Saccharomyces cerevisiae S288C: one gene and its partner. The protein of the gene in region 1 interacts with the protein of each later gene in a pairwise test. Each region holds a gene or a part of one and is shown in the gene's direction. Other genes may lie near its edges. The genes, in order: MRX16 and YJL218W.

The links.
Region 2: the proteins of MRX16 (region 1) and YJL218W interact in a two-hybrid assay, tested with the Saccharomyces cerevisiae proteins (2 studies listed by BioGRID).

The regions. Positions count from the first base shown.
Region 1 is NC_001136.10:709,834-727,174, reverse strand, and holds MRX16 (Mrx16p), read left to right. Parts: upstream 1-6,871; coding exon 6,872-8,359; downstream 8,360-17,341. Other genes in the region: ATP-binding cassette glutathione S-conjugate transporter YCF1, read left to right, coding at 1-4,171; YDR131C (uncharacterized protein), read left to right, coding at 8,715-10,385; FIN1 (Fin1p), read left to right, coding at 10,553-11,428; SAC6 (fimbrin), read left to right, coding at 11,796-11,816, 11,928-13,835; MTC5 (Mtc5p), read right to left, coding at 14,180-17,341.
Region 2 is NC_001142.9:15,554-32,173, forward strand, and holds YJL218W (acetyltransferase), read left to right. Parts: upstream 1-6,419; coding exon 6,420-7,010; downstream 7,011-16,620. Other genes in the region: VTH2 (signal sequence-binding protein), read left to right, coding at 1-571; oligo-1,6-glucosidase IMA4, read right to left, coding at 1,214-2,983; hexose transporter HXT9, read left to right, coding at 3,944-5,647; REE1 (Ree1p), read left to right, coding at 7,580-8,176; oligo-1,6-glucosidase IMA5, read right to left, coding at 8,788-10,533; hexose transporter HXT8, read left to right, coding at 11,334-13,043; YJL213W (uncharacterized protein), read left to right, coding at 16,610-16,620.

The DNA.
Region 1 (17,341 bases):
TAGATCAGTTGTAGCCAATACGGTACTTTTATTCTATTGGCTTTTTGAAACATTCGGTAATTTTGCTAAACTAATAAATATTCTAATTAGACACACCTACGAAGGCATTTGGTATTCCGGACAAACGGGTTTCATACTAACGTTATTCCAAGTAATAACATGTGCCAGTATCCTGTTACTTGAAGCTCTTCCAAAGAAGCCGCTAATGCCACATCAACACATACATCAAACTTTAACAAGAAGAAAACCAAATCCATACGATAGCGCAAACATATTTTCCAGGATTACCTTCTCTTGGATGTCAGGTTTGATGAAAACTGGCTATGAAAAATACTTAGTGGAAGCAGATTTATATAAATTACCGAGGAACTTTAGTAGTGAAGAACTCTCTCAAAAATTGGAGAAAAACTGGGAAAATGAGTTGAAGCAAAAATCAAATCCTTCATTATCATGGGCTATATGCAGAACTTTTGGATCTAAAATGCTTTTAGCCGCATTCTTTAAAGCAATTCATGATGTTCTAGCATTTACTCAACCACAACTACTAAGGATTTTAATCAAGTTCGTCACAGACTATAACAGTGAGAGACAGGATGACCATTCTTCTCTTCAAGGGTTTGAAAATAACCACCCACAAAAATTACCCATTGTAAGAGGGTTTTTGATTGCGTTTGCTATGTTTCTGGTGGGCTTTACTCAGACATCTGTCCTGCATCAATATTTCCTGAATGTCTTCAACACAGGCATGTATATTAAGAGCGCCCTAACGGCTTTAATATATCAAAAATCCTTAGTGCTATCTAATGAGGCTTCTGGACTTTCCTCTACCGGTGACATTGTCAATCTCATGAGTGTGGATGTTCAAAAATTACAAGATTTAACACAATGGCTAAATTTAATATGGTCAGGGCCTTTTCAAATCATTATTTGCTTATATTCTCTGTATAAGTTGTTGGGAAATTCCATGTGGGTTGGCGTGATTATACTAGTTATTATGATGCCATTGAACTCATTTTTGATGAGGATACAAAAGAAGTTGCAAAAATCCCAGATGAAGTACAAAGATGAAAGGACCCGTGTTATAAGTGAAATACTAAACAATATTAAATCTTTGAAGTTATATGCATGGGAGAAGCCTTATAGGGAAAAGCTAGAAGAAGTAAGAAATAACAAAGAGTTAAAAAATCTTACAAAACTAGGATGTTATATGGCTGTGACAAGTTTTCAGTTCAATATAGTACCATTCCTTGTTTCATGTTGTACCTTTGCTGTATTTGTTTATACTGAGGATAGAGCATTGACTACTGACTTAGTTTTCCCTGCTTTGACTCTGTTCAACCTGCTCTCATTCCCACTAATGATTATTCCTATGGTTTTAAATTCTTTTATCGAAGCTTCTGTTTCTATTGGTAGATTATTTACATTCTTTACCAATGAAGAGCTACAACCAGATTCGGTTCAGCGTTTACCAAAAGTAAAAAATATTGGCGATGTAGCCATTAACATTGGAGATGATGCTACCTTTTTATGGCAACGGAAACCGGAATACAAAGTAGCCTTAAAGAATATTAATTTCCAAGCTAAAAAAGGAAATTTGACCTGTATTGTTGGTAAAGTTGGCAGTGGTAAAACAGCTCTATTGTCATGCATGTTAGGTGATCTATTCAGGGTTAAAGGTTTCGCCACCGTTCATGGTTCTGTTGCTTATGTTTCACAAGTTCCATGGATAATGAATGGTACTGTAAAGGAAAACATTTTATTTGGGCATAGATACGACGCGGAATTTTACGAAAAAACGATCAAGGCCTGTGCGTTAACTATTGATCTTGCAATTTTGATGGATGGAGATAAGACATTAGTTGGCGAGAAAGGGATCTCCTTATCTGGAGGACAAAAAGCTCGTTTGTCTTTAGCAAGAGCAGTTTATGCGAGAGCTGACACTTATTTACTTGATGATCCTTTGGCAGCTGTTGATGAACACGTTGCCAGGCACTTGATCGAACATGTGTTGGGTCCAAATGGTTTATTACATACAAAAACGAAGGTATTAGCCACTAATAAGGTGAGCGCGTTATCCATCGCAGATTCTATTGCATTATTAGATAATGGAGAAATCACACAGCAGGGTACATATGATGAGATTACGAAGGACGCTGATTCGCCATTATGGAAATTGCTCAACAACTATGGTAAAAAAAATAACGGTAAGTCGAATGAATTCGGTGACTCCTCTGAAAGCTCAGTTCGAGAAAGTAGTATACCTGTAGAAGGAGAGCTGGAACAACTGCAGAAATTAAATGATTTGGATTTTGGCAACTCTGACGCCATAAGTTTAAGGAGGGCCAGTGATGCAACTTTGGGAAGCATCGATTTTGGTGACGATGAAAATATTGCTAAAAGAGAGCATCGTGAACAGGGAAAAGTAAAGTGGAACATTTACCTAGAGTACGCTAAAGCTTGCAACCCGAAAAGCGTTTGTGTATTCATATTGTTTATTGTTATATCGATGTTCCTCTCTGTTATGGGTAACGTTTGGTTGAAACATTGGTCTGAAGTTAATAGCCGCTATGGATCTAATCCAAATGCCGCGCGTTACTTGGCCATTTATTTTGCACTTGGTATTGGTTCAGCACTGGCAACATTAATCCAGACAATCGTTCTCTGGGTTTTTTGTACCATTCATGCCTCCAAATATTTACACAACTTGATGACAAACTCTGTGTTGAGAGCCCCAATGACGTTTTTTGAAACAACACCAATCGGTAGAATTCTAAACAGATTCTCAAATGACATATACAAAGTGGATGCTTTATTAGGAAGAACATTTTCTCAGTTTTTCGTCAATGCAGTGAAAGTCACATTCACTATTACGGTTATCTGTGCGACGACATGGCAATTTATCTTCATTATCATTCCACTAAGTGTGTTTTACATCTACTACCAGCAGTATTACCTGAGAACATCAAGGGAGTTGCGTCGTTTAGACTCTATTACTAGGTCTCCAATCTACTCTCATTTCCAAGAGACTTTGGGTGGCCTTGCAACGGTTAGAGGTTATTCTCAACAGAAAAGGTTTTCCCACATTAATCAATGCCGCATTGATAATAACATGAGTGCGTTCTATCCCTCTATCAATGCTAACCGTTGGCTAGCATATAGGTTGGAACTTATTGGTTCAATTATCATTCTAGGTGCTGCAACTTTATCCGTTTTTAGACTAAAACAAGGCACATTAACGGCAGGTATGGTGGGTTTATCATTAAGCTATGCTTTACAAATCACTCAAACGTTAAATTGGATTGTTAGAATGACTGTGGAAGTTGAAACGAATATTGTTTCAGTGGAAAGAATAAAGGAATATGCTGATTTGAAGAGCGAGGCACCTTTAATAGTTGAAGGCCACAGACCACCCAAAGAATGGCCGAGCCAGGGTGATATAAAGTTTAATAATTATTCCACTCGTTATAGGCCGGAGCTTGATCTTGTTCTGAAGCACATTAATATACACATTAAACCAAATGAAAAAGTTGGTATCGTGGGTAGAACGGGTGCGGGAAAATCCTCATTAACGCTAGCATTATTCAGGATGATTGAGGCTAGCGAGGGAAACATCGTAATCGACAACATTGCCATCAACGAGATTGGGTTATATGATTTGAGACATAAATTGTCAATCATACCTCAGGATTCTCAAGTTTTTGAGGGCACTGTTCGTGAGAACATTGATCCCATTAACCAATACACTGATGAAGCTATTTGGAGGGCATTGGAACTTTCTCATTTGAAAGAACACGTGCTATCAATGAGCAATGACGGATTAGATGCCCAACTAACCGAAGGTGGTGGCAACTTAAGTGTTGGACAAAGACAATTATTATGTCTTGCAAGAGCAATGTTGGTTCCATCAAAGATTTTGGTGCTTGATGAAGCCACGGCCGCAGTCGACGTGGAGACAGATAAAGTCGTCCAAGAGACGATTCGTACTGCTTTCAAGGACAGAACTATCTTGACCATCGCGCATAGACTGAACACGATAATGGACAGTGATAGAATCATAGTGTTGGACAATGGTAAAGTAGCCGAGTTTGACTCTCCGGGCCAGTTATTAAGTGATAACAAATCATTGTTCTATTCACTGTGCATGGAGGCTGGTTTGGTCAATGAAAATTAAACTGTGAAACTAATAAAAACCTGTCCCGCACAATCTGGTACGTAGGATGGATAAAATAAATAAGTAAATAAGAAAAGTACTTTAATTTTCAACGAGATACTGGCTGCATAGCTTGCCTAGAAAGGAGACGTCACGTCACTTAGGCAAGAAAAAAGGAACACTTTTCATAATATTCATCATAATATCAGAGATCGGCCAGCAATAAAAAGATATAATGAAGGCAACGATGATAATGGCTTACCTCCTCACCACATACCCCTTACAGAAAAAAACCAACATTTCTCCGGAGAACAGGTGCAAGGATAATCCACATGCCGAAAATACGATCGACACTGATTCCTTTTCTGGTATCGTAAGGGGAACCTTATGCGGGGTAATGCACTTATCAGGAAATTCCGCAGCTTACCTTCGGAGAAGGGGCAAACCTTAATAACGGAAATGCAATTAGAATAGCAGCAAGGTGAGAAAAATAATATGAAGATGCCCTTCGCATTGCCGTTAATTTTACGTAGCTCATTCTGTCACCCTAATTCCAGAAATTCCCCTTATCTGTTTTTCGATTGAATTAGGCACTCTGGTGTCATAACAAATAAGGATTGTGGGAGAAAAAGTTTCATCCTAAAACCTAAAGTATGCTAATTTTATTAACTGCACGTTTTCTCCTCACTCATCCAAGGCTATAGGCATAGGAAACCGGCTCAAACTTCCTATTCAGTTGTCCTTGAAGGAGACTTACTTTTTGTTTGTTTTTTTATTTTTATTTTTATTATATTTTTTTTTTTCATTTGTTGGGGTCAACTCACACTGGTTCTCCGCCATATTGCCTTTCTGTCAAGCATTGAAACGTGCAACATGAATATTTTTGGCAGCCATTTCAAAACAATAGCATGGTGCGAACTGCTCCAACATGAATAACCGTGCTTCGACGCGGTGTTTTCTCTTGCCGGACTGCCCATGCGTTTCAGTGCGGAGAAAGTCATCCGTTTTGAAGTGCTGCTACAACACGATCGCTCAAAAAGGAAGGAGTTTTCCTATTTCGAATTGATGGCTGGGTTTGAGCTGCAGGACACGCTGCAGTGGGGAAGCCCTTTTAAATCCGCGAGTCCGGTCCGTGCTCACTTTTAGACGCGTGTTCCATCGGCGTTCGGATGGTTTCCAGTGAGAAAAGGGGCTACGCGTATGGTCGGTAGTCCCTTTCAGGGACCAGTGCAGAGGGTGAATCAACGGCCCCTTCACAGAAACCGCGCAGGAATTTTTCTGGTGTTTGTTATTTTTTTTTCCTTGTACTTATCTCACTTTTCTTTTTCTAACTATTTTTTTTGCAATTTTTTTGTGTACACTTTCCACAACATATAGGATGGTTTAGTCATCTCTCGAAGTATATAAACCGTTGCTGGATCGTGGTTGTTCTTCATCGACTTCTCTCTGCTAGACTCTCTTTTTTAAAATTTTTTCATAGAATAAAAAACCAAGGATAACAAACATCTTCTTTCGTTCGCTTCAAAATAACTACAAATTAAAAATGCAATTCTCTACCGTCGCTTCTATCGCTGCTATTGCCGCTGTTGCCTCCGCCGCTTCTAACATTACCACTGCTACTGTCACAGAAGAATCTACCACTTTGGTCACTATCACTTCTTGTGAGGACCACGTTTGTTCTGAAACAGTTTCCCCAGCTTTGGTTTCCACTGCTACCGTCACCGTAAATGACGTTATCACTTAATACACCACCTGGTGTCCATTGCCAACCACTGAAGCACCAAAGAATACCACTTCTCCAGCTCCAACTGAAAAGCCAACCGAAAAGCCAACTGAAAAGCCAACCCAACAAGGTTCTAGCACTCAAACTGTTACCTCCTACACTGGTGCCGCTGTTAAGGCTTTGCCAGCTGCCGGTGCTTTGTTGGCTGGTGCTGCCGCTTTATTGTTGTAATTTACTCAACCTTTTCTTTAATATATTTTTAGAAAAATGGTTAAGTACTTTTCCGTCAATACAGCTTCCACAAAATCGTTTTATTTCAATTAATAAGATATTCTGGTAATTTCTTATTCTAATTCTAGGAGGCAACACTCCATAACTAAATGTTTATTATAATAATATTAATATAAAGTTAATATCTCTTAGGTTACACGCAACTAAACTTTTTTTATATATACTGGTTGCATTGTATTTTTATCATATATCTTAATATAGGTTGTTTAAGGTTCGTTAATTCAAAAATAATGTTTTTTTGTTTGCCCAGTCGGTTTACGCTAATCAAGAACATGGATTCAATATCTTACATAATAAGCGGACGATGAGTCTATCTCGGTTTCCTCTTTTCTGAAATATAATAGTTTTATATTAGTGATTCATTATTACGATCTGGCCGGCTTATCATTGCTTCTTTTACAAACGTATCCTTTTAAGATTTTATCCGGACCACTGAGCTGGCATTTTTCTTAGCTTGCTTTTGTCTTTGTTGCACGGGCGACTGAACTTCTTGGAAAATCATGTAAGCCGCAATTGCTTACTAAGTCAAAATTCTAATGGATTCTCCTCTCGAATAAAATTGAATAGTCTGAGCAGTGAAAAAAATGTATATCTTATGTGTGAATGTTATATACCATAATCTAACGAAAGATAGCGAATTAAAGACCGGTCTGTGGCACTCGTAAATATTACCAACAAAGAAAGTTCCCAATATAATCATATAGAAAATGTCAAATTCTCCAACAGTAGCAACTTTGTCACAAGAATATTTCGATCCGAATATTCCTCAAATACTCCCACACGAGAAAATGTATAAGATTCAGGTGGGGAAATCATTATTCAAAATCAGCGGTGCTTCTTTAAGCTCGGATGGTCCTAGTTTCTTCACCGAATATTTTTCTAAGAAGCGCTCTCCTTCCAATAACGATGACAGTAATAACGATACCATGGAATCTAATAAAAATGAGGTTCTATTCATAGACAGATCAGCCGAAGTTTTTGAATGGATCTATCAACATTTGCAAGGATATATAATTGAGATTAAGGATGAAGTACAATATACCATGCTTTTCGCAGATGCGATGTACTACAATTTACCGCGATTGCGATCTTTACTGAAAGAAACGGACTATTATTTTACCAACATTGGTGGACAATCATTCAAGATAGCGAAAAATTTATTTAGAAGAGAAGGAGATTCCCCAAATTATTTCGAAATATATGCGGCTACAGTTTATATCGATGTGGAAGAGCTGATAATATCTAAAAAACTATTAAGGCCTCCATCTCATTCTGCTCCTTACATTCCAAGATCTTCTGAGTACTTCAAAGATTTGCTGACGTTACTGGGAGGAGCATCCATCGATCTAGATGATAATAAAAGAAATGCCTTGATAAAAGAGTGCCGTTATTACAGGCTTTTAAATCTCGAACAGCGGCTAATCAAATCTCATATTAGCTATAACCCAATAACAAGGAAAGAAGAGATTTGCCTCCTATTGAAGGATTTGTCAAAAAAAGGCATCACTTTTCCAGCTTCTTCTGCATTTTCAACCTCGCCCTACTTTGAAGACGATTTCTGTAGCATAAATGAATGCGACTCGCTATCAAAAACCCGTGAACAGCCAGCAAATAAAAAGATTAAACTTGACATGACTGAAAAATATAACGATTCCTGGAATATGCTTTGTTATAAGAGACCTTTTTTAGATAAGCATCCGAGAGAGTTGATATTTCAAATAAATTCGACTGATTGTACGATAATCCTCAATAAGGAAAGCCAAAGTATCCATGTAGACATAACTGGAGAATCCGCCTATAAGTTTGAGGCCTTATTTGGAAGTCATTTGCCAAATACACCCTCTGGTGCGCCTAAGTTGAAAAATTACCAGTATCGGTTCCCATCCGATAGTACGCAGACGAAAATTGAAACTCATTATTTACTTCCAGCATGCATATATCTCTGTGATTTGGACATAAACGGCATTAAGATTTCTCAAGTTCAAACTTTGCTAACTGATAAAAATAAATTCAATGACAGGGTCATTGACGTGTCTGATCCACTTGACCTTAGATTTTGTTCTGGTTTAAAGCTTTACTTAAGAAAGTCTCTCTGGAAACTGGCCGTGAAAGATGGCAATATTATGCTGATAGCTATTAAAGCTATAGCATTTAACGGAACTAAGGAATACTACAAGGGATATGAATATCTGTAGGATTAGCTTGATAAAATTACTCTTCTGCCAAGCTTTTAAGTATATGTATGCTCTCCGTTGTATTTTTTATATGCCATTATAGTACTTGAAGTATAACGGAAACCCATTGTAACTCACATTCCTGTAGTAGCTTCTTTTCTTACTTTTTGTAGGCTCTTGTCTCTTTTCTCTTGTTATTTATCAGTTAATATGTAAGAAAAAAATCGACTTCGGGAATTAGGATACAGACACCTCTTAAAACCAGAGATAAAGTAACGTAGAGAAAATAGTAGGATAATGTGTGCAAAAAGAAGAAACTTTGGTGTCTTAAAATAGATAAAAATAACCCTACTGCCAATTTGAAAGGGCCCGAAAAATGTTTGATAAGTTACCTTATGAGATTTTTAAACAAATTGCCTGGAGAATTCCGCAGGAAGATAAAATTTCGTTAACATATGTATGCAAAAGATCCTATGAATCAATTATACCTTTCATCTACCAGAATTTATTTCTTAATGAAACCTATCACATCAATGGTGACTATGATAACTCATTTGGAACCTGTTATTGGTCTGTCCTAAACTTTCACTACATAGATGAAGATGATTCCAATACTAAAAACGACATGTCGAATAGAAGACTAGCTAAAGTGAAATTTAGTTATTTCGAAAGAACATTAGCAGAGTCACCGAAAAGATTATGTCCCTTAATTAATCGAATACGTTGTACATGGCATTTAAATGAAGATGTGATGACAAATGTACTTAAATTGCTATCCGAGTATGGATCCAATTTGAAATTTGTCGATCAATTTGTTCGCTCATCAGTTAACAAGGGGCTAGAACCTTTATCAAAGCAATTAAAAACTCTAACATTAACGCCACCAACGTTAATGCCCACCCATAACAGTGTAAGCGGTTCTTATTTGAATAAAATTGATCGGTTGCTCTTGAAGTGCGATCTATCTCGATTAGAAAAACTTTCCATTCATATAAACGCATTGAAGTACTTCAAAAATACCGGGTCTCCTATGAAGATCAAAGCATTGGTATTAAATTTGCGACCCGACACACTTAACCTTGCGGAGTACGACGCTTCCGATGACTTCTTAAAAGAGCTAGAATACATCGACATATTTGATGCTTCCACCTTAAGGCAGCTAGAGATTTTGTCTTGGTACAGTCGCGACGATTTTCCCTCTGGCGAAGAAGGTGGTTTTGACAGGTTATATGTCAAATGGGGGCTAGAAGGATTTTGGAAATTTCCGAACATTGAGAAACTATCATTAGCGTCATTGGTTTACAGCGAATTTTTTCTAATGAATTGTTTGGCTGTGTTTCACAATTTAAAGATACTGAAACTTGATTACATGGGTAAATTTGACTTCGATGTGTCGTTGATTAACTTCTTATCTAAACAAGTGTGTGGCAAAAAATTACAGCGTTTTGACATACACTGCCAACTAAATCACAGGCTTTTTTTTCCCATGACAGATAACCCACTAACTCGCTTGAATTTCGATGGTTTCTGCCCTTGTTCAACTTGCAAAAATACAATTCACGAGGTCATTCTAAAAAAAATCTTTCCTGAAACCCGGTCAAAACTTTTAAAGAACCCAAATAAGTTCCAAGCCCATAATTTCTTTTACCAAATGTTTTTCGAGAACAAGATCATGCCCTATACAAACATTATTGACAACGAATCACCTGCGATGGGATGGGATTCTGTACCTATTGAAACGTTTGTACGAAAGTTCAATGAAAATCTGCAAAGCACCATAGAAAATACTGAGAATATTACAGTGAATAAAATTACTAGAGAAGATGCCATTAGTTTGTACCACTTATACCTTCATTATCTAAAAGACGTATTTAAAGTTTTTGAGCAAAGTTTGCCGAACTTAGAATATCTAACCATCAACGGTATACCTACAAAAATAATACAAGTGGACGAGTTACAACGATGCGCGGTTCCCCTCTTCTATAATAATGGCTATAAAAGCAACTCTGTTTATGAATTGGTGGACGCAGAAGCTCTATTTAGTTGATACTGTGAGACATGGCGGTTATAACACGTACATAATGATATATACTCTAAATACTGCAAATTGTCAACAAGAGGAAATCAAAACAAATGGATTGTATAGTCTAGTTAGAGCTTTCTCAGTGTTCTCACTGGATTGCAGTGATGTGACATAGTTCAATAAAACAAATTATGAGCAATAAAAGCAACCGCAGGAGTTTACGTGACATAGGGAATACGATTGGTCGAAATAATATACCAAGTGACAAGGACAATGTCTTTGTGAGATTGAGTATGTCCCCTTTGAGGACGACAAGCCAAAAAGAGTTTTTGAAACCACCTATGAGGATATCACCTAACAAGACAGATGGAATGAAGCATAGTATACAAGTAACACCAAGAAGGATTATGTCGCCGGAATGTCTGAAGGGCTATGTCTCTAAGGAAACTCAAAGCCTGGATAGGCCTCAGTTCAAAAATTCGAATAAAAATGTGAAGATCCAAAACTCAGATCATATAACTAATATAATATTCCCTACATCACCAACCAAACTGACATTCAGTAATGAAAATAAAATCGGGGGTGATGGTTCGTTAACGAGAATACGGGCCCGGTTTAAGAATGGACTCATGTCACCTGAAAGGATACAGCAGCAACAGCAGCAACATATTCTCCCATCGGATGCCAAAAGCAACACTGACCTCTGTTCTAATACTGAGCTCAAGGACGCCCCATTTGAGAATGACCTTCCTCGAGCTAAATTGAAAGGGAAGAATTTATTAGTTGAACTCAAGAAAGAAGAGGAAGACGTGGGAAATGGCATAGAATCCCTTACTAAATCGAACACTAAACTGAATTCCATGCTGGCGAACGAAGGTAAGATACACAAAGCTAGTTTCCAGAAAAGTGTAAAATTTAAACTACCTGATAATATAGTGACTGAAGAAACCGTGGAACTTAAAGAAATAAAGGACTTGCTACTACAAATGTTGAGAAGACAGCGAGAGATTGAATCAAGATTATCCAATATCGAACTTCAACTCACGGAAATACCGAAACATAAGTAATCATATCCCTTCTCACATTTTTTACACAGGAAGTAAGCAAGTTATGTTATATTTCCGACACTATAATTAATTCTTAGCAGTTAAAGGTGCTTTGTCTATATTACATTTACATACAGCTTGAGTGATCCTGACCGGATATAGGGTCCTATTTTCTTACGTGAACGGCTTTTCTTCTTGTTCCCGATGGCCTTCATGTGAAAAAGCACTCCTCGGGAGGCGGAAAAATATCAAAAGTACGGGGCGAAGTTTATAATGAAGATTTATCGATATAAATTTTGGTTATTTCAGGAGAACAAGAAAGCTCTTTACACTAAAATTATCAGAGAAGAAGCTGATATATTAGCCCTAAGGAGTACACCAAAACACAATGAATATTGTCAAATTACAAGTATGTATGCCTTTCTCGAATTCCCACACTGCTGAGCACAGTGAAAAAGTTTTTTCTACCTTTTAGGTTGTAATAAACGTTTCATATACTAACAAACTCTTCTGCGATTAGAGAAAATTTCCAATTTTGACTCAAGAGGATCTTTTTTCCACAATTGAAAAGTTCAGAGCCATTGACTTAGATGATAAAGGATGGGTTGAAAAACAGCAAGCTCTAGAAGCGGTGTCCAAAGATGGTGATGCTACTTATGACGAAGCAAGAGAAACCCTGAAGCATGTGGGTGTGGATGCGTCAGGCCGTGTTGAACTGGACGATTACGTCGGGTTGGTTGCAAAATTAAGAGAATCTAAAACAGGAGCTGCTCCACAGACCACTTTCAACGTAGCACCTAACTCAACCCCTATTGTTTCCACTGCTGCCACAGGACTACAGCACAAGGGTAAGGGTACTCAAGCCAAGATTATTGTTGCTGGCTCCCAAACAGGTACTACACATACCATCAATGAAGAAGAAAGACGTGAATTTACTAAACATATCAATAGCGTCTTGGCGGGAGACCAAGATATAGGTGATTTGCTTCCATTTCCTACTGATACTTTCCAATTATTTGATGAATGTAGGGATGGGTTGGTGCTATCTAAGTTGATCAACGACTCTGTTCCTGATACTATCGATACAAGAGTTTTGAATTGGCCTAAGAAGGGTAAGGAATTGAATAATTTTCAGGCTAGTGAAAATGCTAATATTGTTATTAATTCTGCAAAAGCCATTGGTTGTGTCGTTGTTAATGTTCATTCCGAGGACATTATTGAAGGTAGAGAGCATTTGATCCTGGGTTTGATTTGGCAAATTATTAGGAGAGGTTTGTTAAGTAAAATTGATATTAAGCTGCATCCTGAGTTATACCGTCTATTGGAGGATGATGAAACGTTGGAGCAATTTTTGAGGTTGCCTCCGGAGCAAATTCTACTACGTTGGTTTAACTACCATTTGAAGCAAGCAAACTGGAACAGAAGGGTTACCAATTTTTCAAAAGACGTGTCTGATGGTGAAAACTATACTATCTTGTTGAACCAGTTGGACCCCGCCTTGTGTTCTAAGGCACCATTACAAACCACAGATTTAATGGAGAGAGCTGAGCAAGTTTTACAAAATGCTGAAAAGCTAGATTGTAGAAAGTATTTAACCCCAAGTTCATTAGTTGCGGGGAACCCTAAATTAAACCTGGCTTTCGTGGCACATCTATTCAATACACATCCTGGATTAGAGCCTATTCAGGAAGAGGAAAAGCCTGAAATTGAAGAATTTGACGCCGAAGGTGAGAGAGAGGCAAGAGTCTTTACCTTATGGTTGAACTCTCTTGACGTTGATCCACCTGTCATTTCGCTGTTTGATGATTTGAAGGATGGTTTGATATTATTGCAAGCTTACGAAAAGGTGATGCCCGGTGCTGTTGATTTTAAACATGTCAACAAAAGACCGGCCTCGGGTGCAGAGATATCCAGATTCAAAGCCTTAGAAAACACCAACTATGCAGTCGACTTGGGCAGAGCCAAAGGATTTTCTTTGGTTGGTATCGAAGGATCTGATATTGTAGATGGTAACAAATTACTGACCTTAGGGTTAGTGTGGCAATTGATGCGTAGAAATATTTCGATAACCATGAAGACATTATCCTCAAGTGGTAGAGACATGAGTGATTCTCAAATATTAAAGTGGGCCCAAGACCAGGTAACTAAAGGTGGTAAAAACTCTACCATTAGATCATTTAAGGACCAAGCTTTATCAAACGCCCACTTCTTATTGGATGTTCTGAATGGTATCGCGCCGGGCTATGTTGATTATGATCTAGTCACCCCTGGTAACACCGAGGAAGAAAGGTACGCAAACGCAAGATTGGCTATTTCTATTGCTAGAAAGTTGGGTGCTTTGATTTGGTTGGTGCCAGAAGATATCAACGAAGTTCGTGCAAGATTAATTATTACTTTTATCGCTTCGTTAATGACTTTGAACAAATGAGCCAACAAACAACTTTCGTAACCTGTTTTCTACTCAGCTTTCTTGTTCCAATGCTCCGTTATACGATTGGTTAAGTGTACAACAATATATAGCCTCAAGTATTTCTGAAGTTTTTAATATGTAATAATAGATTTCAACTTCCACCTACTTTTATTCGTGATTACTGAGCCATTGTAAAAATGCCTCCAACGCTCAATGATTCCGTTGTCGTCTTCTATCATGCCTCTACTGGATTAAAAAATCGTAAATAAACTACTTATTAAGCCATATATCCTGTGAACTTTTTTTCATATACATCCAAGGTTCTTTGAAATATGCAGAAAATGTACGTGATAGTTAAGCTTTTAGGCATCGAACATTTCCGGACAATTGCACCCACATCCAGATGGGCACTCATCACCAATCTCCCACCATATCCTCGCGCACGAAGAGTGTAAAACATGTTGACAATTTCCACATATGAAGCTACTTCTTGTCACTCTTAAATCACAGTAATTACAATTTCGGGCTAGGAATTTTTCTTCTCCAAACTCGTTGTTCTCGATCCAGTGCGTAAGTACACCATTGTAAGGACTTTTCTTGTTATTGTTAGGGGGGATGCCTTGGGAACTATAAGAACTTCTGAAATCAGTACTAACTTTTAGAATTTTGACCCTTTCTAAAGGCAGTCCCCATCTAAAAAGTAACTTTGAATATTGATAAATATAAGTTTGGAACTTTGGTATGTCTGATACCTCTAAATGTAAGAGGTCTTCTTGTTCATAAGCTTCTATAATATCGTCATGTAAAAGCTCGACTTTGATGTCAGGCATTCTACTATGAAAAGGGCTGGATGAAATGGCACGGCTGCCCTGCTTTTGGGCCGGCTCCGTAAATTTACTACTACCATTAAGAGTGTTGTGCGTCCTTAACCTAGCGTGGTGGTCGTCGGACCTTATTGAGGAGTTGTCTCCTCCATGAATGTTTTTTCCTCTCAAATGATTACCATAAAAATTTGGTGTAACAGTGCTACTCCTAGACCTGGTGGAAAAAGCATCAGATCCTTTCCAAAATGATGTGTTTTGACTTTCGTTGTCATTAAACACAATGGTTCCTTCCATATTCTCTAATTCTTGCCCATAATATCTGGCTGGAATCTTTTTTCTCCTGGCGCTTAATATGACACAGCATAACATGGCCAGCATCTGTAAATTTTGTTGCCTCTCAAAGTAGACAATCGCTTCCTTTATGAACCACTTTATCCCCATGGGATGGTTATTCCATATAGTAGTATAAGGATCGTAATCACTTTGGTCTATCAACATATCAGATAATATTTGCCAACAATGACTAATTTCATCAAGGTCAAACTTTTCTGCCACCAAAGCGTTATTTCTAGCAAATCCTTCCGGTGTGGCATCCATAAATAAGTATTCTAATGCTAGTTCTTTGCGGTCGCTTAATAAACTGCTGAAATTTTTGGAAATCACTAAATTCTTATTTTTTTTGGTAGATTCTACTGTTTTCCCGGATTCCGAATGTACTGAGCTGAAAGCTTTAAAATTACCTCTTAGTATTGGAATTTTTGTTCTCACTATTATATCATTTCTCAATATATCGTCCCAATCGTCCGCGACACTATCAAATGAATCGTCGGAAGATGTCTCGTCGTCAAAGTATGTTCTTGAATCCCCATTAGTACCGCCTCCCAGCCCCAAGGTGTCCACGTACCGCTTAGGGCGAGCTTTCAATTCATCAGCAGCGGTGATTACACTGCTGTCAACTTCCTTATCATATAAAACTTGAGGCTCAATTTTAAAAGGATGCTTCTCTACCCCTGCTTCTTTTTGAGAGAGTTTAATTATTGCATTTTGCTTTTTCTCGGGTTTTTTCTCATTTGCAAAGAAGCAGAAGAGTTCACCTGTTGCAGTCCAACAAGATCCACACCCATTTGGAACAGGTGTCGTATCAAGAGCTAAATTTCTTCCAAAATCCAAACCTTGATTCGAAGTATCTGGGAATACCAGTGCTTCCTTGTATGACTCTATATCTGATTGCGAAGAAAGGTTTTCCGGGTTTTGAGAATCGGAATATGAACTATCCAGTGACGATAATTCTTCAAAATCTATGTGATCTGCAATATCAAAATTTAATAAGGGTTCTTGCCCTTCTTCGATGTCCTCCAGGCTAACCTTCTCACCTAAAACAAATCGTATACATGGCTCCAGGCAGTAAAGATTTGAGTCAGTATACTTTTGACCAATTGTTGCTAAATTGGAAAGTATTTCTTGTCTCTTACTCATGGTTAAATTTGAATTCTCTTCAATTGTGAATTTGGGGGGGTCCCCTTTGTTTGGATAGTTGAGAGGGAAATTAATACTTATTCGTAAGAATATATAATCATCAGGATTTTCCTCTGACCAGGGGCCATTAAGCGTCAGGCACAATTCCCTTGTGGACACGGATATCTTTTCAAAAACGACTTTTGGGAACTTGTGACCAATGGCGCTTACTTCCTCTCCTAAATTTTGGATTTTTGTCTCATTGAATAAATCCTCTTGTGAAGTTGCGCTATTCATTCTAATTCCTGAGAGCCATGTTATGTGGTTTGTCTTGTTTTTCTTCAATCCAGAAGTTGTCACAAAGTTTTCTCGTAAACGCCTAAACTCATTCTTTTGAACATTTTCCCTATTTTCAGGTTCCTTATTGTATGAGCAATAATCATAATCTGGTAGTTTCTCCTCAAGTCTCTTGCCTCTGTCAAAGTTAACTTTCCCATAAATACTATCAGAAATTGGCCATAGTTTTAAATCGCAGTCTTTGGACCAAGTAACCAATTGAAATTCACGATCGTCGTAATCCCCATCGCACGTATGTCTTGATCTCCAAAGAAAGTCAATTACTCGGTCACTATGCCCTTTAAATGCATATATTGGCTGGAGTTTCGTCTTCTTATTTTGTTCACTGTCATCATCGTCGCATAGATTAATCAGATAAACTGCGTTATTGCCTCCAACCATTGGCATAATACAATAACCTTCTCCAAAAGGAAGGTAACGTCCTCTCCAGATTGGAAAATTTGTTGTTACAGTTCTCTTTGATTCTGTCGTACTTTTTGAATAATCCCAAAACTTCACCGTCCCATCGTTCGAACTCGACATAATTTCAGAATATTTGAACCGGTTAAAATCTATGCTATTTACGGAGCTTACATGGCCTTTCAAAGAACAGAGGGGAGTGGAGCCTTTTCTCAAATCCCACACAAATATATCATTTCCATGTGAAGATGCCAAGACGTTAGGATCCTTGTAATTCCACTTCACTTGAGAAGCAGCAGATCTCCATGAACTTGTCGAATAAAATGGTCTATGTGGACTTCTCATATCCCAAGCATGTACATACGTATCGACTGAACAGGTAGCTAAAACATCCGGATGTTGCGGATTGAAGTTTATATCTGTAATTGCTCTTGAGTGCCCATGAAGTACAAACTCAATGGCATTTGATGAAGATTTTGCTAAGTTCCA
Region 2 (16,620 bases), on another chromosome or scaffold:
ATTCAGGGAAAAATACTCTATAAACACCGGCGCTTATGCGCTGGTTTTTGTTACAATTCTTCTCGTTATTTTCTTTGTCGCATGGTTTGTATACGATAGAGGTATCAGGAGAAATGGGGGATTTTCAAGATTTGAAGAAATCAGATTAGGAGACGATGGGCTGATAGAAAACAATAGGACCGATAGAGTTGTCAACATCATTGTAAGACTAGGATTATGCATTTCTTTAATCACCAAGTCTGCGTTTCAACGCGCGAAGGCAGGTACAGCGCAACTTTCTTCAAAATTTAGGGCAAGGTTTGGCAACAAAAAAGGTGCCACTTACTCTTCGCTGCTTCATGATCAGCTTTCAGATGAACCAGATGGCTTCCATGAAGATTCCAACGATTTATCCAGTTTCAGAGGTCAAGGTAGTAATTCTGAAATTGAGCAAGAAGATGTTGACACATCTCAACAAGAGCATACGTCGCGGACAGACCTACTTGGTGCTAGCAATATTCCAGACGCTTTGCCAGCGCGTAGTGCTTCTCACGAGTCCGATTTAGCAGCTGCACGCAGCGAAGACAAGTAGGTAGGTCTTTTTAAACGAACGAAATTGTTCACGCATTGTATGTTGGGTTTCTTACATATCAATCACTCAGAAGCCCATTTTCTACCTCCATCACCGTACTTATAGAATTATTTTTCTTTCTTGACACAATATACTGTGGCTAGTTTAACATTTCGTGCCCTTTAAATATTTTTCATGGTGTGGACAGAACAACGTCAATTGTAAGGAGCATGGAGGTCAAATAAACAATACCTCAAACTAAATAATGAAGACCCCAAGAAGCCTTGCAATCGGCAGTAATTATATTCATGGTACTAATTGTCACTATTCGTCTACACTCTAGTAAAAGTTCTTGATGCAAATTTTTTTATTTTTATGTATGAGAACTGCCGAAAAAAAAGGTTTGGATATTAACTTTGTTAAATAAAATAATACAATCAATTCAAACTTTTTACTGTTTCTTTTTTCAGCTAACTATATCATACTATTGTACACAATTATTAATTACCACTTACATTAACTGTTATTCGCTACGCTTTAGAATATCACATACCCAATATCGCATTACCACATGTATGTCGTTACTATTTAAAGTGCGGTATGTAACATAGATAAATATAAGTATATGTATATGTATAAAAATCTTGTCGTCACAATCATTAATCATTCAGATATGTAAATTCTGCCCTCCCATGGCTTCAATGTTCTGGAAGACGCATCAACTTCACTTCTTGGGTAGTTTCCGAATTCCAACTTAAACGATGAGCTATTGTTTGGAATCGTGAAGTCGATCGAATCAGAGCTGAAGTTCAAAGCAGCAAACAATGTTTTGTTGTCGTATTTCTTTGTGAAGCTGAACAGTTTCTTATTGTCCAAATCAATAAACTCAAAATCATATCCATACACAGTAATATCCTTGTGTGCCTTTCTAAATCTCAAGGCCTCCTTCCAGAAGTTCAAAACCGAGTTGGGGTCCTTGGATTCGTCTTCAGCGTTAATTCCTTCCCTGAAAGACTCGTTCAAGTAAAACCATGGTTTAGCATTAGGACCAGAAAAACCAGCATTTGGCTCCTCACGAGACCATTGCATAGGTGTTCTAGCATGGTCTCTGGAAATAAGGGCAATTGCTTCCAAAAACCTCTTCATCTCCTTCGAGTTTTCTCCATGCTCTTCCTTGATCGCATCATAGTTATTTCTAACTTCGACATCCTCGTATTTTTCGATAGGCCAGTTCTTGAAATTGATTTCACCCAGTTCCTGTCCTTGGTACACATATAGAGTACCGCTCAGTGACACCAACAACACAGACAACAACTTACCAGAAATAACACGGTTTTTGGGAGAATCGTCACCAAATCTGGTAATTGAACGAGGTTGGTCGTGATTTTCCAGATAAATTGTTGACCAACAATCAGTTCCGTTAACGTATCTGAAAAGTTCAGCAAGGGCAACCTTCCAATCCTTTAGTTCATATGGTATCAAATTTTGACGGAACTTGGGCGAAGTCCCGACATCAGTGTGGGAAAAGTTGAATAACTCACTAAGTTCGTGTCTTGACGCACTTGTATACAACCTCTTGGTCTCATCAGTAGCATGTCGCATTTCACCAACTGTCATAATTTCTCTGCCATCCTTCACTCTGTTTCTGATGAACTTGTTCATTTCTTGATGAAACTCATGGATACGTGGTCCGTTCATTGTGAAAGGATCACTGAGTTGCCACTTTGAGTTTTCGTCAATCACAGGAGCGTCTGGTAGACCAGCAACCTTGGAGTACAAGCTTCCCACATCAATTCTAAAGCCGTCTACACCATGGTCTAACCAGTATCCAACGGCACTTTCGTAGATTGCCTTTCTGCAGTCTTCGTTCTCCCAGTTTAGATCAGGTTGGGTGGAGCAAAACAAACGCAAGTAAAACTCTTGTGTCTTTTCATCGAACGTCCATGCAGAACCACCGAAGTAAGACCTCCAATTGTTTGGAGGAATTGGCTTGCCTTCGGCGTCATAACCCTTAGGAGGTCTCCAGAAGAACCAGTCACGTTTTGGATTGGTTTTTGAGGATCTGCTCTCTTTGAACCATTCATGTTCGCTGGAGCAATGGTTGATGACTAAGTCGGTGATAAATTTCATACCAAGCTTATGTGTCTTTTCGATCAAGGCAAAGCAGTCCTCGTTCGTACCGTAGGTTGGCCAGACCTTTTCGTAGTTGGCAATATCGTAACCCATATCATCTTGTGGCGAGTCGTAAAATGGCGAGATCCAAATGGCATCGGTACCAAGCTCTTTGATGTACTCCAACTTGGAGGCAATACCCTTCATATCACCCCAACCATCGTTGTTGGAGTCTTTGAAACTTGCGGGATAAATTTGATAAATTGTGGCCTCTTTCCACCACTTGGGTTCTGTTTCTGGATGTGCAGAAGAAATAGTCATTGTACGTTGCTTTCTTATCTCTATGAAAAAACTTTCACTTTTGTTTGTGTGTTTGGATTGGTGAATGGAACATATATTCTAGTACAGCTAATTCCTCGAGTGAAGAAGTCTTCCTTACTTATATATGTCTGTGGACGTCTTACGAATGATCGAAAATAAGAAAAGAACAAAGTAAATTTAGGATCTGGAAGGAGTGCTGTATGTAAACGAAGCTTTCAGTTTTAGGTAATGTTTGCACAACCTACATGATATAAGATGGTATGTTCTGCAACAGCGTGCCTGTCACTTGGCCCGTTATAGCAGATTATACCATCTGCAAGCAGACCCCATTATTGCATTGCCTCCGCAGCCTTGCGTATACATAGCCCTAAGACAAAATACGGAGCGTAAACAACCCTCGATCCCCGCAACAATTACATAACCATTTCTCCGCGGAATTACATAATCATTTCTCCGGGAAAATTACATAATCATTTCTCCGTGCGAGTTATAAGTGCTTTTCTCGTGCATTTCCCTGACACTTCACAAAACCTTCTTTTTCTTTTTTCTTTATTTCAGGGGAAATCAGTGCAAAACTAAAAAGAAAGAAATTTTGTGAAATGTAAACTCCAGGTGTCAAAAAATAAATTATATCCGTGGAAAATCAGGCGTCGGAAATTGTAGATGAATCCGCCTCCTCCACAATAAAAATGCTGACCACACGAGCAATGCATACACTCGGACACCTTCGTTCAAAGTATCAGTAGCAGTTCGACACACCCTATACTACTTAGCTCTTAAGGTCTAGGCTCATCTTTCTCAGTTCCTCTTTTTCGCTAAATAAAGGTATATAATGTCACAGCTGTGTAACTAAAGAACACTGTTGTTCCTATCTTTTTCTTCTTCTTTTTTTGGTATGAGTTGGAAAAAATAATCATTGCACAATTGAGTACTAAAAGCTTTCGTATCTTACCCAATATCATGTCCGGTGTTAATAATACATCCGCAAATGATTTATCCACTACCGAGTCTAACTCTAACTCAGTAGCAAATGCACCATCTGTAAAAACTGAGCATAATGACTCTAAAAACTCCCTCAACCTGGATGCCACTGAACCACCTATTGACTTACCTCAAAAACCCCTCTCTGCATATACCACCGTCGCAATCCTGTGTTTGATGATTGCATTTGGCGGCTTCATCTTTGGTTGGGATACCGGTACCATTTCTGGTTTTGTTAACCTTTCTGATTTCATCAGAAGGTTCGGTCAAAAAAATGACAAGGGAACCTACTACTTATCGAAAGTAAGAATGGGTTTGATCGTCTCAATATTCAACATTGGCTGCGCCATAGGCGGAATTGTCTTGTCAAAAGTCGGTGATATATATGGTCGTCGTATTGGATTGATTACAGTTACTGCCATTTACGTTGTAGGCATCCTAATCCAAATAACTTCCATAAACAAGTGGTACCAATACTTCATTGGAAGAATTATTTCTGGCCTAGGAGTGGGAGGCATTGCTGTCCTTTCCCCAATGTTGATATCTGAAGTTGCTCCCAAACAAATCAGAGGAACCCTGGTCCAATTGTACCAGCTGATGTGTACGATGGGTATTTTTCTAGGATACTGTACCAATTACGGTACCAAGAACTATCACAACGCCACTCAATGGAGAGTCGGCCTTGGTCTTTGCTTTGCCTGGACTACATTCATGGTTAGTGGAATGATGTTTGTACCAGAATCACCACGTTACCTGATTGAGGTTGGTAAAGATGAGGAAGCGAAACGTTCACTTTCGAAATCCAACAAAGTCTCAGTCGACGATCCAGCCTTGTTAGCAGAATATGACACTATAAAGGCGGGAATCGAACTTGAAAAGCTGGCAGGTAACGCATCATGGTCTGAACTACTCTCCACTAAAACAAAGGTCTTTCAGCGTGTTCTCATGGGAGTGATGATCCAATCGCTGCAGCAATTAACCGGTGATAACTACTTCTTTTACTACGGCACCACCATCTTCAAATCTGTCGGTCTAAAGGACTCCTTTCAGACTTCGATCATTATCGGTGTGGTTAATTTTTTCTCTTCATTCATAGCGGTATACACCATTGAGAGGTTTGGACGCCGTACGTGTCTATTGTGGGGTGCTGCTTCTATGCTATGCTGCTTTGCTGTGTTTGCCTCCGTCGGTGTGACAAAGTTGTGGCCTCAAGGAAGCAGTCACCAAGACATTACTTCTCAGGGCGCCGGTAACTGTATGATTGTGTTTACTATGTTCTTCATTTTTTCGTTCGCCACCACTTGGGCAGGCGGCTGTTACGTTATTGTCTCAGAGACGTTTCCTCTTAGGGTCAAATCAAGAGGAATGGCAATCGCAACAGCTGCAAACTGGATGTGGGGTTTCCTGATTAGTTTCTTTACCCCATTCATTACCGGGGCAATCAACTTTTACTACGGTTATGTATTCTTAGGCTGTCTGGTTTTTGCATACTTTTATGTCTTTTTCTTTGTCCCAGAAACAAAAGGCCTGACGCTGGAGGAGGTGAATACTATGTGGCTGGAAGGTGTGCCAGCATGGAAATCAGCCTCATGGGTGCCACCAGAAAGAAGAACCGCAGATTACGATGCTGACGCCATAGACCATGACGATAGACCAATCTACAAGAGGTTCTTTTCCAGCTAATCTTCCGGTTTTTAGTAACTGGAAAAAAATACATGAACTTAATTATTTATTATATACAATATTTACTTTTTTACGCCTTAATCCTTAACGGACTATTTGTTATGCCTTATAGAACTAGAAATTATATGATAAACATGAGCTACACGAGTTGACAGGGTGAACAGATTACTATAGCATCTTTCTCTCATGAATAATTTTTAAAATGTATAAATTTTGTAACGTTCCGAAGGGTGGAGTGAAATTCCATTCAAGAAACCAAGCATTGAGACAGAACAGTACAGAGTTCAGTTGTTGCGGACCGAGAATTGTAACAAGTAGCCCCAGAAACATTCATATGACGTCTGTTTCAAATTAAGCTTAGTAAAAGTACACATTTACCATAAAAAAATAGTACCAAGTCGGTGGCCTGATATCCTTATTTTCCTTCTGCCAATTGGGCAAGTTGGTACTAATATTTTAGGTGACACTGCCACTTTATTGTTATGGATTGAAATTTCTTAAATGTTCTCACAATCGGCCATAACGCTATTTCTCCGACGTAACCTCCTGTCATAGTGTGCCGTGCCTGAATAACTTAAAAAATTAAAGTTTTCAATGTGCCCAAAAAAATTCACAAATAGTACGCGCTCGTTAAACACCCTGTGACGCTGGGCCAGGCACTATTTAGCATTACTTCGAAAAGACGCAAGTATAAAGAGTGAGATCTCACGTACTACAACAAGAACATAGAGAAGCATTCTAATAAGCATATAAACAAGGCTTCTAGAGAAAAATGGGCGTATTAGAAAATATAGTACCTGGTGAGCTTTATGATGCGAACTATGATCCAGATCTTTTGAAAATTAGAAAAGAGACTAAAATAAAATTGCACGAATACAACACCCTTAGCCCCGCTGATGAGAATAAAAAGAGCCAGGTAATAAGAGAATTACTTGGTAGTTGCACTGATAACTTTATAATTGAACCGCCGTTTTACTGTGATTACGGAAGTAACATCTATATCGGAGACAACTTTTACGCCAATCACAATCTTGTTATATTGGATGGGGCCAAGGTAGTCATCGGTGACAACGTATTTATCGCCCCTAATGTTGGTATTTATACGGCAGGTCATCCAATTGACGTGGAAAGACGGCTTCAAGGATTAGAATATGCCATGCCTGTGACCATTGGAGACAATGTATGGATTGGAGGTGGAGTGTCAATAATTCCTGGAGTAAATATAGGTAAAAACTCCGTGATTGCCGCCGGTAGTGTTGTGATTCGTGACATACCAGAAAATGTAGTGGCAGCAGGTAATCCTTGTAAGGTGATAAGAAAGATCACTGAAAAAGATAGTACAACTACAAACTATCGAAAATGATGGATCCACTTTCTGGAGGAATTATCGAAAGCAAGTGTTGTCTTCTATGATTATGTACCGTATTTTCTTATAAGAATAAATAAAAAGCTAGTTCAGTTTTAGTCGACTAAATACGCAGAGAGATTATTAATTATTGGTATATGTTCTGGTTTAAGTTGCTCATTCTCAACTCGACTGTGTATAGTAGCTTCTTTCTGGTATAATCTATCTTCGAGGAGAAAATTATAGTTTACAACTTATGTAAAACTGCTCAAGTTCCAACCGTATAGAAAACGCGTGGCTGGTAGCTTTATGTTCGGATTTGAGAAATTTTCGGGGAAATAAGTACCGTTCTAATTTTTCAGCGCAAATTAACATGCGGAGAAACTTTAAACTGAAAATATGGCCACCTGCATGCGTCCATATGAAAGGGTCATCAAATAGCCTCGAACAAAACAAGTAACATTTTCGATGGAGTTAGAAAGGGATGATCCTATACGCACAGATTTCCTAGGTATTTAACCTGACCTAATATTAACAAAAGTCCAAGTGACGGCTTCTCCATCAAACAAGATAAATTACCAAACACAATGGTCGAATCTAAGAATACTGAATTATCGCAAGGAACATGGCTCAATAAGCCAAAATCTGTTTTTCAAGAGGCAGGAAAAGTCACTCTGGAAACAGATGAAAAAACTGACTTTTGGCGTGAAACATTTTACGGATTTACCCGTGATAGCGGTCATTTTTTGGGAGTAGAGACAGGTAGTGCTTTTACTGCACAAGTCCGTGTTCAGGGAAGCTACGAGAGTCTTTATGATCAGGCTGGTATCATGGTTCGTATAGATGATGGACATTGGCTCAAAGCTGGCATAGAAATTTCTGATGGCCACGCAATGCTAAGCAGTGTTTTGACAAATGGAAAATCAGATTGGTCAACTGCTGTTTATGGCGGAAATGCTCGCGATTTCTGGCTTCGTGTTACTGTTGAAAAGGGCGTTTTGAGGATTCAGGTGTCCTCTGATAAAAAAACATGGCCGTTAGTACGTTTGGCTCCATTTCCAACTTCTGACCATTACCTTGTTGGACCAATGGCTTGCACACCTGAGCGTGGCGGATTGAAAGTTACTTTCTCGGAATGGAGTCTCACAGCTCCTTTAGGAAAAGCTTTACATGATTTGAGTTAGTTCACCTATATATCAATATATAAAGAGGGGTTTGCTTTTGTTAAGAACAAGGCCTGCACCTCACTAAGATCTGTTGATTTGGCACTATGCTTTTTAAAATTTTGTTTATACTCAATTTCGTCAAGATTTTTTTTACTAGTACAATCCATACAGTTAACAAAATACTGGGCAATAAGGCGTGCATACTACGAAATTTTTAGTTTTGTTATAATAAACGACTTTTAGCTAGTGTTTTAAGATAAAGTGACGAAAGTTAGGGTGAGAATAGTCGAATGTATTTACTAATTATTGAATTCGTGGTAATTAGTACTTATGATGATGGGGTTTAAAGGGCTAAATTTAGACAATAGAAACAGTAATAATGATGTTTTCTATTTTTCTGCTGTACGTTGCTTTTTATTTTATATTTCTTCGGAAAAAGGTTCAGTGAATTTTCTGTCTTCTATATACATATATAAATTGCAATTGAAAATAGCGTACAGCGTAAGTTAAGTATCCAATGCTCACATATGAAAAGCAAAAGTAAAAAGAAATATACAAGTTTATTATTCATAAATATCGGCATAACTATTTGTTTCGAAAGATCAGTACGTTTATGTTAAATGTGCTCGTTACTTCAACAAGTAAAGTCTTCCTTCCCATGGCTGCAAGGTGCGGGAATCACCATTTGAGTTTGCATAGTTGCCAAAAAACATGGTGTAGGAGGCCTCATTATCAGGAACTGAAAAGTCCGTATTATCGCTACTGAAATTGAAAACAGCAAACATTTTTTTGTTATCTGTGTCCTTTGTAAACATGAATAGCTTGTCATTATCAAGATCAATGAACTGAAAGTTATGTCCATAAACAAGGATATCTTTGTGCTCCTTTCTAACTTGTAAGGCCTTTTTCCAGAAAAAGAAGACTGAGTTTTTATCTTTTAACTCAGCTTCTGCGTTGATTCCGTCTCTAAATGATTCATTCATGTCAATCCATGGTTTGGCATCCTTCGAGAAACCTGCAGAAGGCTCATCAGCACTCCATGGGAATGGTGTTCTCCCATGATCTCTAGAGATCAAAGCTAATGCTTCAAAAAACTTTTTCATCTTTTCAGAATCTTCACCATAATCACGTTTAATGGCGGCATATGTACCAGTACCTTCAACGCATTTGATTTGCTCAATTTTTCTGTTTTTGAAGTTGGGCATACCCAATTCTTGTCCTTGGTAGATAAAAACAGTACCAGTCAATGAAATGATGAGAGTAGCCAACATCTTGGACGAAATCTCACGCCATTTAGGAGAATCTGAGCCAAAACGCGAAACGCTACGAGGTTGATCATGATTCTCCAAATAGATGGTCGACCAGCAATCTGTGTTTTCGATAAACAGAAAGCTTTCAGCAAGAGCCAGCTTAAAGTCTTTTAAAGTAAAGGGAATAAGTTCGTACTTGCATTTTGGGTTTTCACCTACTGAGGTGTGCTTGAAGTTGAACATCATATTTAGTTCTCCTTCTTTGGCACTGGTATAAACTCTGAAGTCGTCTTCATTCCCGATACCAACTTCTCCAACAGTCATGATTTCTTTACCCTCTGGAACTTGCGAGAGCATGTAGTTATGCATTTCTTTATGATACTCATGGATACGTGGCCCATTTATGAAAAATTCAGTTCCTTTTTGGTAAGGAACTGTAGGATCAGTGATAGGAGCATCGGGTAGGCCCTCAACCTTAGAATACATGCTGCCTACGTCAATACGAAAGCCATCAACGTTGTGACGTAGCCAATAGCCCACTGAGGAGTCATAAATGGCTTTACGGCACTCTTCATTTTCCCAATTGAAATCAGGTTGGCCAAGAGCAAACACATGCAGAAAGAACTCACCAGTTTTTTCGTCATATCTCCAAGCAGATCCACCAAAGAAAGATCTCCAATTGTTGGGAGGAATTGGATTACCTTTCTCATCGTAACCCTTTGGAGGTCTCCAGAAAAACCAGTCACGCTTTGGATTAGCCTTAGAAGATCTACTCTCCTTGAACCATTCATGCTCTTCAGAACAGTGGTTGATAACCAGGTCAACAATAACCTTGATACCTCTCTTATGAGCTTCTTCTATCATTTGGAAACAATCCTCATTGGTACCGTAACGTGGCCAAACCTTCTCATAGTTGGCAATATCGTAACCCATATCTTCTTGAGGAGAGTCATAAAATGGGCACACCCATATCGCATCGACACCTAATTCTTTGACATAGTCAAGTTTGGAGGTAATCCCAGCTAAATCACCCCATCCGTCATTGTTGGAGTCCTTGAAACTAGCAGGATAAATTTGGTAGACGGTGGCTTCTTTCCACCATTTAGGATTATGGATGATCGTCATGTTTTTCTTTTCAATATTGAGCACTTTCTATATAGTCATCAAGAAACAGTAGTTTTTCGCACCAAGATATGTGAACAAGTGTCCTAATTTATAATTCGTCAGACGTTTATGAACTTACTCCTCAAAACCGTATCAATTACCGTAGCGGTAATGGAAGATACAATTCTTAAGTGTGAATTACTTTTTCCGGTGAATTAGCTTCTAGGATTGTGACTATTTCAATGGACAATGTTGCAAATAGTTTCAAATATTCCCGTGTTTCTCCGAGGATTCTCCACGGAGGAAAAATAATGCAAAGTTTATTTCCCCGTTTTCTTTTCTCCGTCTAGGCATTTACGCTTTCACGCAACTTTATTATATCACCTCCGCGGGGATTCAACAACGAGGTATGTGGAGAAGGAGAGAAATTCCAGAGAAAGCAGCCTAGAGCATCCTGCTGCAGCAACTTATAAACGTATCTCACAGAAAAGGCCGGAGAAAGTTCTTGAAATGTGTAATTTAGCCTACCTGCCAAGCGGCTGGAATTATCCCGAGAATAATTCCGCGACCGGGCCTGTTCCTGAACTCTAAGAAGTTTTGGAATTTCCGAACGCTTCTTCGCATGAAAGACATGAACTCTTAAGTAAAATAATATGAACTGGCATGGTCGTAATCTTTTGGACGACGGAATATCATCGCTAACCATTGTAAGGGATGAAGCTTGACTAGATATATTTAAACGACCATTTTTGTTTCATTCTTATTTTAGATTGCATTTTTTATAAGTCACTTTTAGTTAGCTCAGAACGCCAGCAAAAACCATGACTGATCGTAAAACCAACTTGCCAGAAGAACCGATTTTCGAAGAGGCAGAAGATGATGGCTGCCCTTCGATAGAAAATTCTTCACATCTGTCAGTACCTACAGTGGAGGAAAACAAGGACTTTTCCGAGTATAATGGGGAAGAGGCAGAGGAAGTTGTTGTTCCAGAAAAGCCTGCTTCAGCCTATGCTACTGTTTCTATCATGTGTTTATGTATGGCTTTCGGTGGATTTATGTCCGGTTGGGACACAGGTACGATTTCTGGTTTCGTCAATCAGACTGATTTTTTAAGAAGATTTGGTAATTATAGCCATTCCAAGAACACTTACTACTTATCTAATGTGAGAACTGGGTTGATTGTGTCCATCTTCAATGTGGGAAGCGCCATTGGCTGTCTTTTCTTGTCTAAATTGGGTGATATTTACGGCCGCTGCATGGGTTTGATTATAGTTATTGTCGTTTATATGGTTGGTATTGTCATTCAAATTGCCTCTATAGATAAGTGGTATCAGTATTTTATTGGAAGAATTATCGCTGGTATAGGTGCTGGTTCCATTAGTGTTCTTGCCCCGATGCTTATTTCGGAAACTGCGCCAAAGCATATCAGAGGTACGTTGCTAGCTTGTTGGCAATTGATGGTGACTTTCGCAATTTTCTTGGGTTATTGTACCAATTATGGTACCAAGACTTACTCGAATTCTGTCCAGTGGCGTGTTCCGCTTGGTCTATGTTTTGCATGGGCTATTATTATGATTGGTGGTATGACGTTTGTTCCGGAATCTCCTCGGTTTTTGGTGCAAGTCGGTAAGATTGAGCAAGCTAAAGCTTCTTTTGCCAAGTCGAACAAGCTTAGTGTTGACGATCCTGCTGTGGTTGCAGAGATTGATCTTCTTGTTGCTGGTGTGGAGGCAGAAGAAGCAATGGGAACTGCTTCATGGAAGGAATTATTTTCGAGAAAGACTAAAGTTTTTCAACGTTTAACGATGACAGTCATGATTAACTCTCTGCAGCAACTAACCGGTGACAACTATTTCTTCTACTACGGTACTACTATCTTCAAATCTGTCGGTATGAATGACTCTTTTGAGACTTCAATTGTCTTGGGTATTGTGAATTTTGCTTCTTGCTTCTTTTCACTTTATTCTGTTGATAAGTTGGGCCGTCGTAGATGTCTTTTACTTGGAGCAGCCACCATGACGGCGTGCATGGTTATTTACGCCTCCGTTGGCGTCACAAGACTATATCCGAACGGTAAAAGTGAACCATCATCTAAAGGTGCTGGTAATTGTACGATTGTTTTCACGTGTTTTTACATTTTCTGCTTTTCCTGCACCTGGGGACCTGTATGTTATGTGATTATTTCTGAAACATTTCCATTAAGGGTGAGATCCAAGTGTATGTCCGTTGCAACAGCGGCCAACTTATTGTGGGGGTTCCTAATCGGGTTTTTCACTCCTTTTATTACTTCGGCAATTAATTTCTACTACGGTTACGTTTTCATGGGTTGCTTAGCGTTTTCATATTTTTACGTCTTTTTCTTTGTTCCAGAAACAAAAGGTCTAACTTTAGAAGAAGTTGATGAGATGTGGATGGACGGTGTATTACCTTGGAAATCTGAATCCTGGGTACCAGCTTCTAGAAGGGATGGTGATTATGATAACGAAAAATTACAGCATGACGAGAAACCCTTCTACAAAAGAATGTTTTAGACCGGTGAAAACACACGCAAGCAAACTTCAAAGTACATTGATAAATAATGTCCAATGCCCTCTGTAATATAGGGGCTTTTTAATTCCTAAGACTGATTCGATATATTAAACACCAGGGCTACTGAAGACTGACAGTCACGTTGAGTCCTATTATATCATTTTACTCACAGAAGATTTGGTAATATGATACTTAGATGGGCTTAACAACAAAGTGTTTTCTTGATGTTACTGCCCATGAAAAAAAGCAAATCAAATTAGTAGGCGGATTGTTAACTTTGTTTATTTTGAAACCCGTCAGGACTACCAAAATATAACAAAGTATTGATTATCGTCAACGCTTTATAGATCACTTTTTTTTTTTTTTGAGGAACCGATTAATTAATACATCGTAGCCTCTGCTTATTGCATAACACAACAAAAAAATACAATAATACGCAACTTTTGTTTATAGAAAAATAAAAATGGAACATATGATATTCTCTGTTCGTCATATGATAACTTAAGCACTTTCGTGTGTACATAGGTATTCTAGTGCATTGGAATGAGATCAATTATGATTTCCTAACCCAGAATTTATATTACTAATGATTTCAGAATTAATAAAAGCTGAAATAAAAGGAGTAGCAATGTAATAGGAAATAAACGAGGGCACATAGAAAGGAAGAAGAAAAATTACATTATGTGGAATTATTGATTCCCTTGGCAATTTCCCATAGTCTCATGAAAATTCCTGGCCTATTCTGTATTCATAATTCCATACTCTTTTTTAACAATGAAACTCCGGTAATTACCACAATATTTACTTATATCTCAATACGAACGCATGTTCTCTTCGAGGAAGACCAGCATTAGCGCTAAGCGCTAAGCGATGAGTTGACTTAATTTTTAAAAGGACGATGTTGGCGCGTTAGTGCATAAGAAAGTCAGCAAATCCCTTTAAGCTGAAAACCTTGATATATTTCTCGGCCTTTAATAATGGCGCAACTGATTTTAATTATCTTTGAATGGCTTATCTGTAACGAACATGTGTTACTAAACTAGTAGTAAGTTAGAAATACTGTTTATCCAGAATATGTAAGTTGGTGCTTCTAAAGTAATATAAGACCGCTTTAATTTGTTGTAACCTCTGAAATACAGGTAACCGCTGGGTCATCTCCTATCTAACTTTTGGTAAAAATGACATCGAAAAGAACAATTTTCGAAATATTCAATTTGTTCGGGTGTCGGTTTAATGCTCAAGGCCCCAATATTTCATAATAGGATTCTAAGAATTGCAGAAAATTCAGCTATGTTTCACCCATTTTGTTATTGGTGAAAACCGCCAAATCGATATCGATATAGTCACATTTTAGAGCGTGCCGATAGTCTCTAAACTTACACGAACGTCATTATTTGTAAGTAGACAACTGGGAATTTTAAAAAAGGTTGAGAAGATTCGTTTTATAAAATATGACGTCGTAAAAGAAGAAAGTGACAATACTGTTGCTGCGGGTTAAAAAAATAATTCTCCTACAAGCTTGAGACCTTTATTACAATTCCTACCTAAATTGGCTCTTCAGGGGGGTTTTCTAGGCAGGTATCTCTAGAATTTACTCAAGAAGTTTATTTTCTAGTGCCAAAAAGTCTACTGCTGATATTCGCTTCTACTGATTAAGAGCTGCTTTAAACCATCTTGTTGCAACATTGAGTTTGGACTTAAAGCCTCAAGTTGTTAGTGATGTTGCTTTTCAGGATGACGTGTAGTTGATCATCTTACAGAAAAGGAAGCAATGGTACGTATAAGATATTATTTTAAATGAGAAGTAGCTGGTCTTCAAATCACAGACATTGTGATGGCAAAGCAGTGATAAATAAAGTTTTCACACCCAAAGCAACATCTTTCCAAACCGTTTGTGTGCCGTGGTGAACAGATAGAAGAGGGCACTGTTATTCAAATTTTGAGGGTCGGGAGAATTAACTCGTTAATTATTCCTGGTGTCGAATTTGCGTCATTCCTAAACTTGGATATTCTTATATGGCAAAAAAAGAATTTTTTATGCCACCAACACGACGGCATATTCTGGAGTGATTATAGCCACTGCTAACAAGATAAGGCGGTAACACCCGATTGTGCAGATGTCCTCATTTATCCTGTTTCCGAGCATTTGATTAACCGTCTCTGTGAGACCAGTTAAAGACCTCTCTCAAGAAAAATATGTAAATTTTTTTCAGCCACTTTATCGGCACTGGAACGAAACGATATGGTATTCCCAGTATCAGCCACGGCCCCGTGTAAGCCGTAAAGTAAACAAAAATTTTTACCACTAATTTCGTTGCGTATCAATTTATACTATTCTTTGTGAAAACCTACACAGACTACCAACAGAAATTTTTTTGGTCAAACGAGTCCAGTCTGGTTATTCGCTGGTTCATGTAAAATGTTAGCACCATCTACAGATTCCGAACATTAAAATCGTATTATGCATAATATAGACATTAATGAGCAATCTGTTCATTACCCCCTTATCGTATGGCAACAGCTATTCCTGATGTAATAGTGATGTTATATTGCTTTCGCCATTATTAATTTTGAGGAAGCTTTCCAAACAGATTACATAGCTAACTAATTGCAATTTTGCGACGCCATAAGGATACGCGATTTCCTCCTTTTCTTTTTCGCGTTGTTCTGTGCGCTCTTTTTTTCAGCCAAAAAGGGTTCCTGAACAAAAAGACCCTGTTTTTTTTCTGCCTGTTAACTCTGATCTTAAAAAGTTACCAATTTTCTAACATTTCTCAATAAAGACCCTTCGATAAACAAGATTCTTGAGAAATAAAAATTTTTGTGACGTTTACTTTTGAAAGTCCTTGAAGAATTCATTACTAATAGAGAAAAAATGGTGATAATTTTTTTACTTCACCTCCTTTCTACTATCCCTCTTATTCGGATTATCTAGCTTTAACTTCGCCAGTTTTTTCTTGACACACTTCACAGATGATGGTGCCTTCATGTCGGCATGACGCATTATCTCCATACTAAAAAATGATCCGACAATATCTCCTTCCTATTTGATCAGCCTCTTATCGTTCGTAAACGACGTAACTTGACGGAGAACGGAGAACTTGTTGAATAGAGAAGAGTATGTCGGTAATTGATCTCCGATATGAGCGAATATAAAAGCAACATATTTGCTGGTATGTAGCGTAGCTTTTCTTTCCAATTGACGGGACATCGAAACAGTATATTAACCGAGATAAAAATGACGACTTATCAAATCGATGTCAATGAAGGAATGAACAAGTCCCTGGCCGACTTGGTGGCACCATAGCGCCCAGAGCCACTCAAAAATTACTGTATAAGTAACACTAATTTGATAGATGTGGTAAGCGGTGTCAGTCTCCTCGGAGCTTACATCTTCATAGAACAGGGTGTCATTTCCAAGGTCGAATTTGGTTCTGAAAAGCCGGTAACCGTTGATGAAGTTGCCTTTGAAATTATTGACGGCACCGGTAAGTATGTCACTCCAGGTCTGATCGACAGTCATGTCCACATTGCGTCGGTTGCAGGAGAGGCTGATCTGACCAAGTTAATGCTGATGCC